Linked DNA regions of Pelodiscus sinensis. The protein of the gene in region 2 purifies or fractionates together with the protein of the main gene of each other region. This does not show direct contact. Links are inferred from orthologs where the notes say so. Each region holds a gene or a part of one and is shown on either strand. Other genes may lie near its edges. The genes, in order: CRCP, POLR2H and POLR3K.

What was found.
Region 1: the proteins of POLR2H (region 2) and CRCP purify together in Homo sapiens (affinity purification with mass spectrometry; 3 studies listed by BioGRID and IntAct, with this or other methods). This does not show direct contact. The link is inferred for Pelodiscus sinensis from reciprocal best matches to the Homo sapiens genes POLR2H and CRCP.
Region 3: the proteins of POLR2H (region 2) and POLR3K purify together in Homo sapiens (affinity purification with mass spectrometry; 3 studies listed by BioGRID and IntAct, with this or other methods). This does not show direct contact. The link is inferred for Pelodiscus sinensis from reciprocal best matches to the Homo sapiens genes POLR2H and POLR3K.

What each region holds. Positions count from the first base shown.
Region 1 is NC_134731.1:20,054,907-20,058,653, forward strand, and holds the start of CRCP (DNA-directed RNA polymerase III subunit RPC9), read right to left. Parts: upstream 2,948-3,747; coding exon 2,888-2,947; intron 1-2,887. UniProt on the Homo sapiens protein: DNA-dependent RNA polymerase catalyzes the transcription of DNA into RNA using the four ribonucleoside triphosphates as substrates.
Region 2 is NC_134720.1:48,355,899-48,359,645, forward strand, and holds the start of POLR2H (DNA-directed RNA polymerases I, II, and III subunit RPABC3), read left to right. Parts: upstream 1-808; 5' UTR 809-948; coding exon 949-1,021; intron 1,022-1,485; coding exon 1,486-1,569; intron 1,570-2,562; coding exon 2,563-2,656; intron 2,657-3,394; coding exon 3,395-3,478; intron 3,479-3,747. UniProt on the Homo sapiens protein: DNA-dependent RNA polymerase catalyzes the transcription of DNA into RNA using the four ribonucleoside triphosphates as substrates.
Region 3 is NC_134726.1:4,941,131-4,944,877, reverse strand, and holds POLR3K (DNA-directed RNA polymerase III subunit RPC10), read right to left. Parts: upstream 2,519-3,747; 5' UTR 2,496-2,518; coding exon 2,385-2,495; intron 2,152-2,384; coding exon 2,064-2,151; intron 726-2,063; coding exon 598-725; 3' UTR 490-597; downstream 1-489. Other genes in the region: SNRNP25 (U11/U12 small nuclear ribonucleoprotein 25 kDa protein), read left to right, coding at 2,572-2,688, 2,925-3,015. UniProt on the Homo sapiens protein: Core component of RNA polymerase III (Pol III) which synthesizes small non-coding RNAs using the four ribonucleoside triphosphates as substrates. Can mediate Pol I proofreading of the nascent RNA transcript.

The DNA.
Region 1 (3,747 bases), on a different chromosome or scaffold from region 2:
ACATGTATAGCTTTCCCTGGTCATTTGTCCAAGTTTCCTCTTTTTATAAGCTCCCTTTTTGTGCTTAAGTTCACCAAGGATTTCCCCTGTAAGCCAATCCGGTCTCCTACCATGTTTGCTTCTCTTGCTACACATTGGAATGGTTTCTTTCTGTGCCTTCAATAAGGCTTCTTTAAAATACTGCTAGCTCTCCTGGACTCCTTTCCCCTTTATGTTAGCATTCCAGGGGATTCTGCCCATCAGGTCTCTGAGGGACTCAAAGTCTGCTTTTCTGAAATCCAAGGTGTGTATTTTACTACTCTCTTTTCTCCCTTTGGTCAGGATCCTGAAATCTACCATGTCATGATCACTGCTTCCGAGGCTGTCACCCACCTCTACTTCCCCAATTAGTTCCTCCCTGTTTGTGAGCAGAAGGTCAAGCTGCGCACGTCCCCTGTTCGGATCCTTCAGCACTTGTACCAAGAAGTTATCCCCACAACATTCTCCAAAAACTTCCTGGATTGCCTGTGTACTGCTGTATTGGTCTCCCAACAGATGTCAGGGTGATTGAAGTCCCAAACCTCATTCTAGGAAAAATGCCTTTTCCGAAATAGTTATTTTGAAATAAGCATATGGAGACTCTGCACTCCTGCTATTTCAAAATAGCTCCTCACCAAGGCCATTCTAAGTTATTCCTCCTCAGTGCCTCCAGGGGCTCTAAATCAAAATAGCACATCTACATTAGGGAAGCCTAGTTTGGACTAATTTTGAGGCTTCCCTGCAGTGTAGATGTGCTATTTCGAAAAACTATTTCGGAATAACTATTCCGGAATAGCTTATTTTGAAATAAGTGTGCTGTATAGACATACCCTAATATATATCATGCCTACAGCTTCTTCCCATCCACTAGGTCACTAACTCAAAGACAGAAATCAAATCATGGCAGACCAACCTATTCTTGACAAATCCATGTTGGCTATTATTTATTACCTCATTATCCAGTAAGTGCTTACATAATTGATTCCAGCATCTTTTCACATATTGATATTATTGCTTTATATGGGTCCTCTTTCTAAAGATAAGTATTCTGTACCTGTCCAGATATGAGACCTCACCTGTTCGCCATGAGCTCGCAAAGATAATCACTAATGATTGCTTCATCTAGCTCCCTAATTCTAAGGTGAATTTCATCAGGCCCTGCTTACCTGAATACACCTAATTTACCTAATGTTCGCACACCTTTCCCCTGGCTAATATTAACTGTGTTAAATAGCTATTCACTATTAACGTTATTAGTGAAGAGTGAATAAAATAGGCATTTAACACCTCAGCTTTCTTAATGGCATCCATTCTTAACTCCCCTTCCCACTAAGTACTGGGTCTACACTTTCCTTCGTCTTTCTCTCACTCTTTACTTATAGAGCCTCTTTTTACAGCCATTTATGGCCTCTTCTACGAATTATGCATTTTGGCTCTTAGTCTTTGTGAGTTTGTCCTTCTATGCATGTGCTATTCTTCTGTACTCATACTTAGCAATTTGTCCATGTTTCTATTTTTTGTAGTATTCATTTTTGATTTATATGTATAATTCTCTTGGCTCTCTCTTAAAACTGGTTTTCCATTTAGGCCTTGTCTTCACTGACTGGGAGATCAATGCTGCAGAGAACCATCTCCCAGAGGTCAGTTTAGTGGCTCTAATAAAGGTACACTAAATGGACCATCGGTCACGCTCATGTCAACCCGAGTACTCCCCCAGGTCATGAAGAGTAAGGGAAGTCAATGAAAGAGTTTCTCCTGTCGACACCCTCAGTAGGGATGATGGGGTAAGTCGAACTAAGGTATGTTGACTTCAGGTATGCTATTCAAATAGCTGGAGTTGTGAACCTTACTTCTACTTTGCCCCCCTAGTGGAGACCTGGCCTTAGGCATCACTTTCTATGGATACAAAGTTGACAACTTAAAGATTTTGGGCCTGATGAGTAAAAAGTATAACTGCAAAGAAACCAGGGAAGTTTCCCAGATGAAAAACTGGTGTAAAAGAGTGGAGAATCAAACCCTAGATTACGAATACTACATGCAAAGTAAGGATATTCAGAAAATTAACATAAACATGTGAATGAAGAGAGAGATAATTAAAATGTTCTGAAGGACTATTTTCTCATGGATTTAAGAACACACACAATTCTAACATTTGGGGGTTTATTACTGATTTGGGATCCAAGCTAGGGATGTTAAATTTCGATTAATTCGCTAATAGAGTAGTTGATGGAATTTCTATTCGATTAGTCAGTAAGGGGGGTGCTTGCTATCCTGTTGAGCCTCTTGCTTTGAAATGTTATATTTCAAAGGGAAAAGTAGCGGGAATCCGCAGGTAGCTCTTGTACGTTTCAAATGGAGAGGAGCAGCAGTCCAACCGGAACGAGTGGGACTGTTTCGATCCCCACTTGTGCCATTTCCCCGATGCCTTCTACTTCTCCTGCCCCCCCACGTAGACGGTGCTCTCCCCGCCCCCTTGCTGCATCCCTCTGATAAAGGCAGCAAGTGTGGGGGGGAGCAACTAGTCGAGTTCCTACTTAACTACCCAATAAGCATTTGCTTATCAGGTAGTCAACTAGTTGCTTACATCCCTAATCCAACCCTGCTCATATTTGTCATGCAAACAGTGCCAATAATATCATTTCTAAGTCACCTTTTAAACCAGGATGAGAGCCCCCATTTTACCAAGCTAATTAAAAACAAAGAAATCCACATGTGAAAAAGCAAAAGTCACAAACAGGTCTCCCAGATTTCTTGGAGACATTTTTATCTGCTCTGGTCCATGTTTTCATTGACATCAAAAAGAATATATTTTGACTCGCTGTGATGATGTTAAGTTGTCAGTTTAAAATCATGGAGCAAATTAACTTACCTCAAGGTTACTCAGCAATGCAGCATTTGCATCTTTCCTGAAAAACAGAAAATTATGCATGTCTCAAAAGAAACGGTCACAAATCCATTCTCTCTTTTTTACTGATCGGGGGGGGGGGACGGGACGGGACGAGACGGACATTTTTCAGTAAATTCTGAGAATTTTTTAAATAAAATCTTCAAGATTTAATTCTGTTAAATCCTCTACAATTCCTAGCTATTGCTGCCTTTAGGAGTTACTTATTTTCACAAACTTCAAACATAGCTATTACAAATATTCTTACACAATTAATTAATTTGTGTAAGAATATTTGTATCATCAAGTGTTTAACTTGCACAACAGAATCATCTTAACTGGGACAGCCCCTGGACTGGCTTAACATCCTAAATAATCATAGTGAAAAATTCCCTGAAGGTGGACCCTTAACACAAGATTATTAAAAAAAAGCATACTGCACAGAACGCAAATGAAAGAATAATAGTCATTAAATTTCATCTTTATTGTGTTCTTTTAATGTTTATTTGAAAAGTTCCATATTAGCAGACTGAAGTTTAGAGTTTCCCATCACTCAACACCTGCCAAATGCTTCCCTATTAAGTGAAATGTATAATAATTCTATCCCCATCAACAAAAAAAATAATTGCCATTCACTATCGTTAAGCTAAACAAGTTTGCTCTGAGTTATGCAAATTTACTTAATTAGGACATTCTTAATTGGGAAAAAATACTATAATTATATTTTAAAATACATAAATAAATGTTATGTTTAAAAAATAGGCAAGAGCACTATACCTCACCAGAGCAACGCATTATGCTGAACAGACAGTAGTAACAACAACAAAAAGTTATCAAACAAAACA
Region 2 (3,747 bases):
AGATCCTGCCGGGTTCCTCCCGCCGCGGTGGAGGTGGCGGCTCCTTGCAAGACTCAGAACCCGGCTGCGGCGTCTCTGCCGCCAGGGGCCATCGCTGCTGCGCAGAGCCCAGGTGCCTAGCCGGGCAGCCTTCCGGTGCACATGGCTAGGGACCCCCACCTGCCCCGGCCCCGCGGCTTCCCACGCAGCCTCCGCAAGGATCCGTCGGTGCACCGGCTCCTCCCCCCGGCCGCAGGGGCAGCGTTTCTGGGCGGGAGCCAGCCAGGCCAAGGGACACCTGGCTCCTCTCGTCCCCCGGGGGCGCTCCCTGCCCCGGGACGGCAGGGCAGGCGGGGATGGAGGAGTCACTGGCCCAGCAGGGCCCAAGCAGAGGGAGGGGCTGGGCTGGCAGCTGACGCCGCACCTGCCTGGGAGCGCAGCGCAGCCCCGCGTGCAGCAGGTACCCGAAGGGGGGGGCGGGTGGTTATGGGGCCCAGCCCGGGGCCTGAAGGGCGCCCCTCCCCCCAGCCCTGGGACCAATGGGCGCCCCTCCCCCACCTAATCACCTGTCCCCCCCCCCCCCCGGGAGATCGGGAGAGCCCCCCCACGGGCAGTGCGGGGATGGGCCTCGCCCTGGGTGTTTGTGTAGGGTCGCGGGGGCCGGGCTTTGCGGGGGGACGGGATTGGGGGCGGGTCTATGGGACGGGGCCCCGGACACCCCGACAGGCGCTGCCCGCAGGTGCTGGGAGCAGCCGGGGAGGGAACCCAGGCGTCCGGGACACCAGGGGGCGGGGCGGGGCTGCGAGCGCCCAACAGACGGGAGGGAGCCTGTGCGCATGCGCGGCGTAGAGCCGGGCCGGGGGAGTGCTTCCGCCCCGCACTGACATGGCGGCGCCGCGTGGGCTCTAGCGGGCGCCTGGCCGGAAGTGAGGGTCCGCCGGCCCCGAGCCCCTGCGCCCGCCGCGCGCCATGGCCGGGATCCTCTTCGAGGACATCTTCGACGTGAAGGACATCGACCCCGAGGGCAAGAAATTCGACCGGGGTGAGTCAGCGCCCCCCCCCCCCAGGTCCAGGGGGCCGGGCCCCATAGCGCCCCCTCCCCCCCACGGATCTGGGGCCGGGCCCCATAGCGCCCCCTCCCCCCCACGGATCTGGGGCCGGGCCCCATAGCGCCCCCTCCCGCCCACGGATCTGGGGCCGGGCCCCATAGCGCCCCCTCCCCCCCACGGATCTGGGGCCGGGCCCCATAGCGCCCCCTCCCCCCCACGGATCTGGGGCCGGGCCCCATAGCGCCCCCTCCCCCCCACGGATCTGGGGCCGGGCCCCATAGCGCCCCCTCCCCCCCACGGATCTGGGGCCGGGCCCCATAGCGCCCCACGGATCTGGGGCTGGGTCGGGAGCAAGGCCCTTGAATAAACAGGTCCAAACCTCCCTCCCCCAAGATCTGGGTGTGAACGTGAACCGAAACTGCGTCCCGGGTCACTGGTTCTGCTCCTTCTCTCCCAGTTTCCCGCCTGCATTGTGAAAGTGAGTCTTTCAAGATGGACCTAATCCTGGATGTGAACATACAGATCTACCCCGTGGACCTGGGTACGTAGTAGGGGGCCCTCAGGCTGGCAACAGATAATCCTTGTATCAGGCAGCCCCTGCTGAGCTAGAGCCAGCTGCTGGCGGAAGTGCCCATAACACTATGGGCTTGTCTACCCAGGGTATGAAGTTTAATTAAGGAAAAGGCTGTGTGATTTAAAGTGCAGTAAGCCCCTGTCTGCATGCTGCTGTTCTGAAGGAACGAGGCCTTCAATTAGATCCAGTGGTCACATGCAGCTGTGATGTGAGGGGAAGCACTTCACCTGCCTGACAGCTCCATGACCTCTAGGGATCATGCTACTCAGAGCGCATCACCTGGCACTTGGATGTGCTGTTGAATGCCCTGATTGCCCTTCCTTGGAGCTGGGAGCCCTGAATACTGTGTGCCTGAGTGACTGTGCAGATCGGGGCGAGGAGCCAGTTCACAGGTGGCTTGCTTCTCTTTGCCATCAAGCACCGTTGCAGTAAGATGCAGCCTGTATGCCTTGTGTGCTTTGGTTTCGGAGTTCCTTCCTGGCTACGTCTACACCGGCAGCTTCTTGTGCAAGAACTGTTTTGCGGAAGAGTTCTTGCACAAAAAGTCTTCCACAAGAGCGCGTCTACACTGGCATGTGCTTTTGCGCAAGAGCATCCATGGCAGTGTGGACGCTGTCTTGCGCAAGAAAGCTCTGATGGCCATTTTAACCATAGGGGCTTCCTGTGCAAGAAATTCATGTGGCCCGGCTACACTGCCCTCTTGTGGAAGAGCTCTTGCGCAAGAGGGCTTATTCCTCGTGGGGAGCGGAATAACTCTGCCGGCAGAAGCCCTGTTTTACAACGCTGTACTGTAAATTTACTTGCGCAAGAACGCGCGTGCAGTGTAGACAGCAGGCAAGTTTTTGCGCAAGAACAGAAGCTGCCGGTGGCGACGTAGCCCCTGTGTGGGATCATACTTCCTGTGCCCAGCTGGCCTCCTTGGGAGCGTGCCTTTCACCTGCTCTCTGTTGGGTATTGCAGGTGACAAATTCCGTCTGGTTATTGCCAGCACCTTGTATGAAGATGGGACCCTGGATGATGGGGAGTATAACCCCACCGATGACAGGCCGTCCAGGTAACGGGGCAGCATCTGGCAGGGAGTAGCTCAAGAATTCAGTAGTGTCTCATGCAGGCTGAGGTCAGTGAACGGAGGGGTAAAGAAAGTGGGGAAAGCGTGGAGCTGGGGAGCTGCCCTGGGTCAGCATCCCTGTCTGATCACGTTGGCCTTTAAACACCAGGGAGAAGGGGCTAACCAGAGCAGCCCTTGGTTCCCAGCCTTTGTCTGGCAGATTCCCACTGTGGTCAGTCGGCAAGTGGGCACTGCTGTCTCCTCGCACGTTTGCCGCTTTTGCTTTTGTGCCCGCGCTCTGCTCTCTTGTCGGCCGCCGTTCATTTTCTCTGTTTTCCTTGTCATCTTTCACTTTTATCTGTCCTGTTGAGTTTTTGGTTTCTAAACTCTCTTATCCGTAATTAGACAGTCCTCGTCACTGCTGTATCTGAGCAGCCCCTATCTGTTCTTGGCGGCCCTGGTTCTGTAGCTCCTCCATATTCGCCGGGGGTTGCTTGAGCTAGCTGTGGCTATTGGTGGTGCTGTAAGGCCGGATTGCACGTGCCTTCAAGCTTCACTTAGTGCTGTGGAGGTAGAGGCCAGACTGTGCTTATGGGGCTGGCTGCATTGGGGGCTATCTCAGGCGTGCAAAGCAGACCAGGTGGCTTTCCAAGAACCACGTGGTGCTTTTCCCCTGCGTTGGGCAAGAGGGTCTGATCTGTGGCCATGTACCTCCCTCCACCCCCACTGTCTTGTTGCACGCAGGGCCGACCAGTTTGAGTACGTGATGTATGGCAAGGTGTACAGGATTGAGGGAGACGAAACGTCCACGGAGGCAGCCACGCGCCTGTAAGTGTCCTCCTTGCCCTCCCCTCACCCCCATACCATTCCCCTGCCGTCCACAAGAGGTAAGGGGGGTGGTTCTATGCCCCACCAGGGCACAATGTCCCAAGCTTGGGTAGCTAAGGGAGGGACAGCATGGTCCTGCTCAGAGTTGCTAGTGGGTCCATAGGGGAATGCCGGGGCACTGAGCATAGAGTGGTGAGTGGAGGCCGTAGCCAGCGCTCCCTGTAGCCGCCAGTGTGCTCCCTGACACTGATGAGGTGAGCAACTATGGC
Region 3 (3,747 bases), on a different chromosome or scaffold from region 2:
GGGAGAAGGGGCTAATATTCTGCTGCTCCAGCTGCAGGCATACAGGCCTCTACCTCTTTATTTGGGAGCCGGGAAGCCTACACGTACTTGTTTTCCCTACAACCTTCTACTGGATCCTGTGCCCCCAACTCTTGAGTACAACAGAGACAAGAGCTGGGTGGACACTTCGTGGTGATGCAAGTGACCTAGCCTCTGCATTGTAGGAGGCGCTGGTGACCCACCACCCTACACCATAGCATCCAATACGCTAGCCACATGTGGCTATTTGGCTGGCTGAGGGGCTAGTTTGCTATAGCAGCAACCACTATACTGGCTACTGATTCAGAACTGGTTAGACACCACAGCTCTAAACAGAGGCAGCTCTTTGTTCTGCTGTGTGTGCCATTAGGAAAATGTGCAGTATATGCATAACCTTCACCCTGGACCATCAGATTATGGTGAATGCCTGCACTAGCAGCAGTCAATGTTAATTTAAACTCATGCAACAACTGAAACCAGGGATATTTATTTCCACATTACCATATATCATACAACTCAGCTGGGGAATTTTCAAACAAACAGCAAAAACAACACTGAAGAAATTAAATCTGAAACCAGTCAGTCCCTCCACCTGTGCCCACACTGGGCATTACAACACTTGTAGAAGGTGGTCATGGGTTCATCAGCTGATCTGGTCTGAATCTGCATGAAGTAGGCGCGAGGATGCTCACACTTGGGACATGGCTCTGTAAAAGAAACCAGAACTCTAGTGAGTACAGCTCCCAGGGTAATAAAGCAAATTCTTCATTCTGCCAGGGGAGCTCACTGTGAGGGCCACTCTACCTGATGGACTAGAATGCAGCCTTCCACAAGCCATTCAAGAGAGATTTCCAAATGTCCACTGGCTCACTTTTTACATGATGAGAGAACTTAAAAGGGCCTTCAGGGGTAGATGAGAACCTCAGGCCACTGTGCTTGAGAACACCCCCTAATGGCACTGAATTTAGCATGTTGGGGACTAGCTGGTTCTAAAATACAAGGGCAACACTAACTATCCATGGAGTCATTGTGGATAGTTCTCTGAAAAATATCTGCTCAGTGTGCAGCAGCAATCAAAAGAGGTGACAATATTAGGAACCAGTAGGAAAGGGATAGGCAATAAGACAAAACATATAATACCACTACATAAATCCATGGTGCAACCACACCTTGAATAATATGTGCAATTCTGGTCACCCCCTCTCAAAAAAAATAGATCAAAATTGGAAAGGGCGGCAAAAATGATCCGTGGTATGACTCAGCTTCTATAGAGAGATTAAATAGCCTGGGGTATTTCAGCTTGGAAAAGAAATAACAGAGAGGATGTGACAGAAGTCTATAGAATGATGACTGATATACAGAAAGTAAATAAGAAAATATTTCCTCCTTCACATGTTATTTGGTGACTCCAGGTTCTTGTGTTAACAGGTAGCAGATTTAAAACAAACAGAAGGAAGTGTCTCTTCACAAAACACAGACAACCTGTGGGACTCACTGCCAGGGGATATTGTGAAGGCCAAAACCATAAAAGGTTTCAAAAGAGGTTCATGGAGGAGAAGTCCATCATTGGCTATTAGGCAAAACTAGCAGGTACACAACCCCATGCTCTGAATGGCTCTAGCTTGACTGCCAGAAACTGAGAATGGGTGACAAAATCCATCACGTGATAACCACACGTTCTATTTGTTCCCTACAAAGCACCTGGTGCTGGCTATGTAATTGGACAGGATACGTAGAGCCCTGCAAATCTGCGGATACCTGCTTTATGTCCGCAAGTATCTGGGGAAGCGGAGACCAGCAGCTCATTTCTGCGGATGTGGATGCAAATTTTTTAATCTAGAACCCTGCAAATCCGCGGGTATCTGCATCCGCAGAGGGGTGGTACGTGCAGGTGTCTGCGGCTCGTTGTGGGGGCTATGGATGCGGCAGGGCTCTAAGGATATGGGCTAGGTGGCCTGTCGCTGGAGCCAGATCTCCTGGAAGGGGGCCCGGGGCCGGCTGCTGGCCCAGGCCAGTCGGAGAGCAGCGCAGAGGCCGGCGCTCACCCGCCGTGGAGTCCACGTTCTCCCAGGCCGCCGCGCCGCCCAGCACATCGTCCACCTCCTTCAGCTTGGGGTACTTGCGGCTGCTCACCTGTGGGGACAGGCTGTGAAGTGCCTGCCCAGCCCCCACCTGGTAGGCGGGGCTCAGGCACGACAGGAGCCCCGCCCACATCAGCCCCACCCTCCTAGCGATTAGCTCCGCCCCCAGCAGCCTCCTCAGGGCAACCCCCGCCCAGGCTCTGATTGGTTGCTCTGCCCCAGCAGGTCGGCCGTTGGGGCTGTCAGTCCCCGCCCACCGAGGTGGCAGGGGGGGGCGGGGGTTACCTTGCGCGTGACGTTGCGCACGTAGGGACACGTGGTGCAGGCGAAGCGGTGGCACCTCGCGCCTTCCTCGGCCACCAGCACGTTCCCGCAGGCCGGGCAGAACAGCAGCATTTCTGCTTCCGGGTCACGGCGCGGCCCCGCCTCTTCCCCCGAGCGGGTCACAGGAAGCCCCGCCCTGCCGGCGGCGATGGCGGAGTCGGGCCCCGAGGAGGAGGAGCTGGCGCACGCCGAGGTGCTCGACCTCTTCCAGGAGGGGCTGGCCCGGCTCGTGCAGGACCCGCTGCTCTGCGACCTGCCCGTGCAGGTAGCGCCTCCCCTCCGCCCGCGCGGCGCGCGCCCGGCCCCGCCCGCGGCCTCGTGACTGCCCCGCGGCACTGACCGTTAACGAGTCGCACGGGGGGAGGGGGCGTGTCCCGAGCTCGCGCCCCACGTGACTGCGGGTGGGGGCGGGGCGATACAGCCTTGGAGGGGGTCAGACCCCCATGGCTGCAGGAGCCCTGCCGGCGCCGGGCGCTTCATCGGCCCTTCGCTTCCCGGCAGGTCACGGTGGAGGAAATCAATTCGCAGATCGCGCTGGAGTACGGCCAGGCCATGACTGTGCGCGTGTGCAAGGCGGATGAAGAAGTGATGCGTGAGTCCCCCGCACTGGCCTGCGCCGTCTGTGCGGGGTGGTGTTGGGAGCCGCTGGGGGGCCGCTCTGCTCTGGAAAGCCCGCAGCATTGAGTCCATCCCCTCTGGCTGGCGGGACTCGGGCTATGGGGCTAAAACTTGCGGCATAGACATGTGGGCTCAAACTGGAGCAGGGATTCTGAGATCCGCTCCTAGGCTGTCTCTACACCGGCGGGTTCTTGCACAAGAACACGGCCACACTGCCACGTGCTTTTGTGAAAGAGCATCCCTGGCAGTGTGGATGCTCTCTTGCGCAAGAGAGCCATTTTAGCCATCCGGCTTTCGTGCACAAGAAACTCCTGCCGCGCGTCCACACTACCCTCTTGCGCGAGAGCGCTTACGCTTGTTAGAAAAGAGCGTAGCTCTTGCACAAGAAGCCCCATCTTCTGCCGCTGTACTGTAAGTCTCGCACAAGAGCAGGCGGGCAGTGAGGCTGCTCTGCGGGTTCTTGCGCAAGAACGGCCTGTCTTCATTACAGTGTAGCTTTACCTTCTAAGATCACATATATGCTCTAAGTACACGGTTGTCATGTTAAATGGCACATGCAGGGACGGTGTTGAATTGTGTCCCCTGCAAATCACAGCCATGTCCGTGCTCTGAAGCATTCGTCTGTCAGAAGCTGGAGTGAGCAGGGGATAAATGGGAAAGTCAACTAGGTAGGTAGTTGCTGCCAGTTAAGATCTTGGCACAGGGC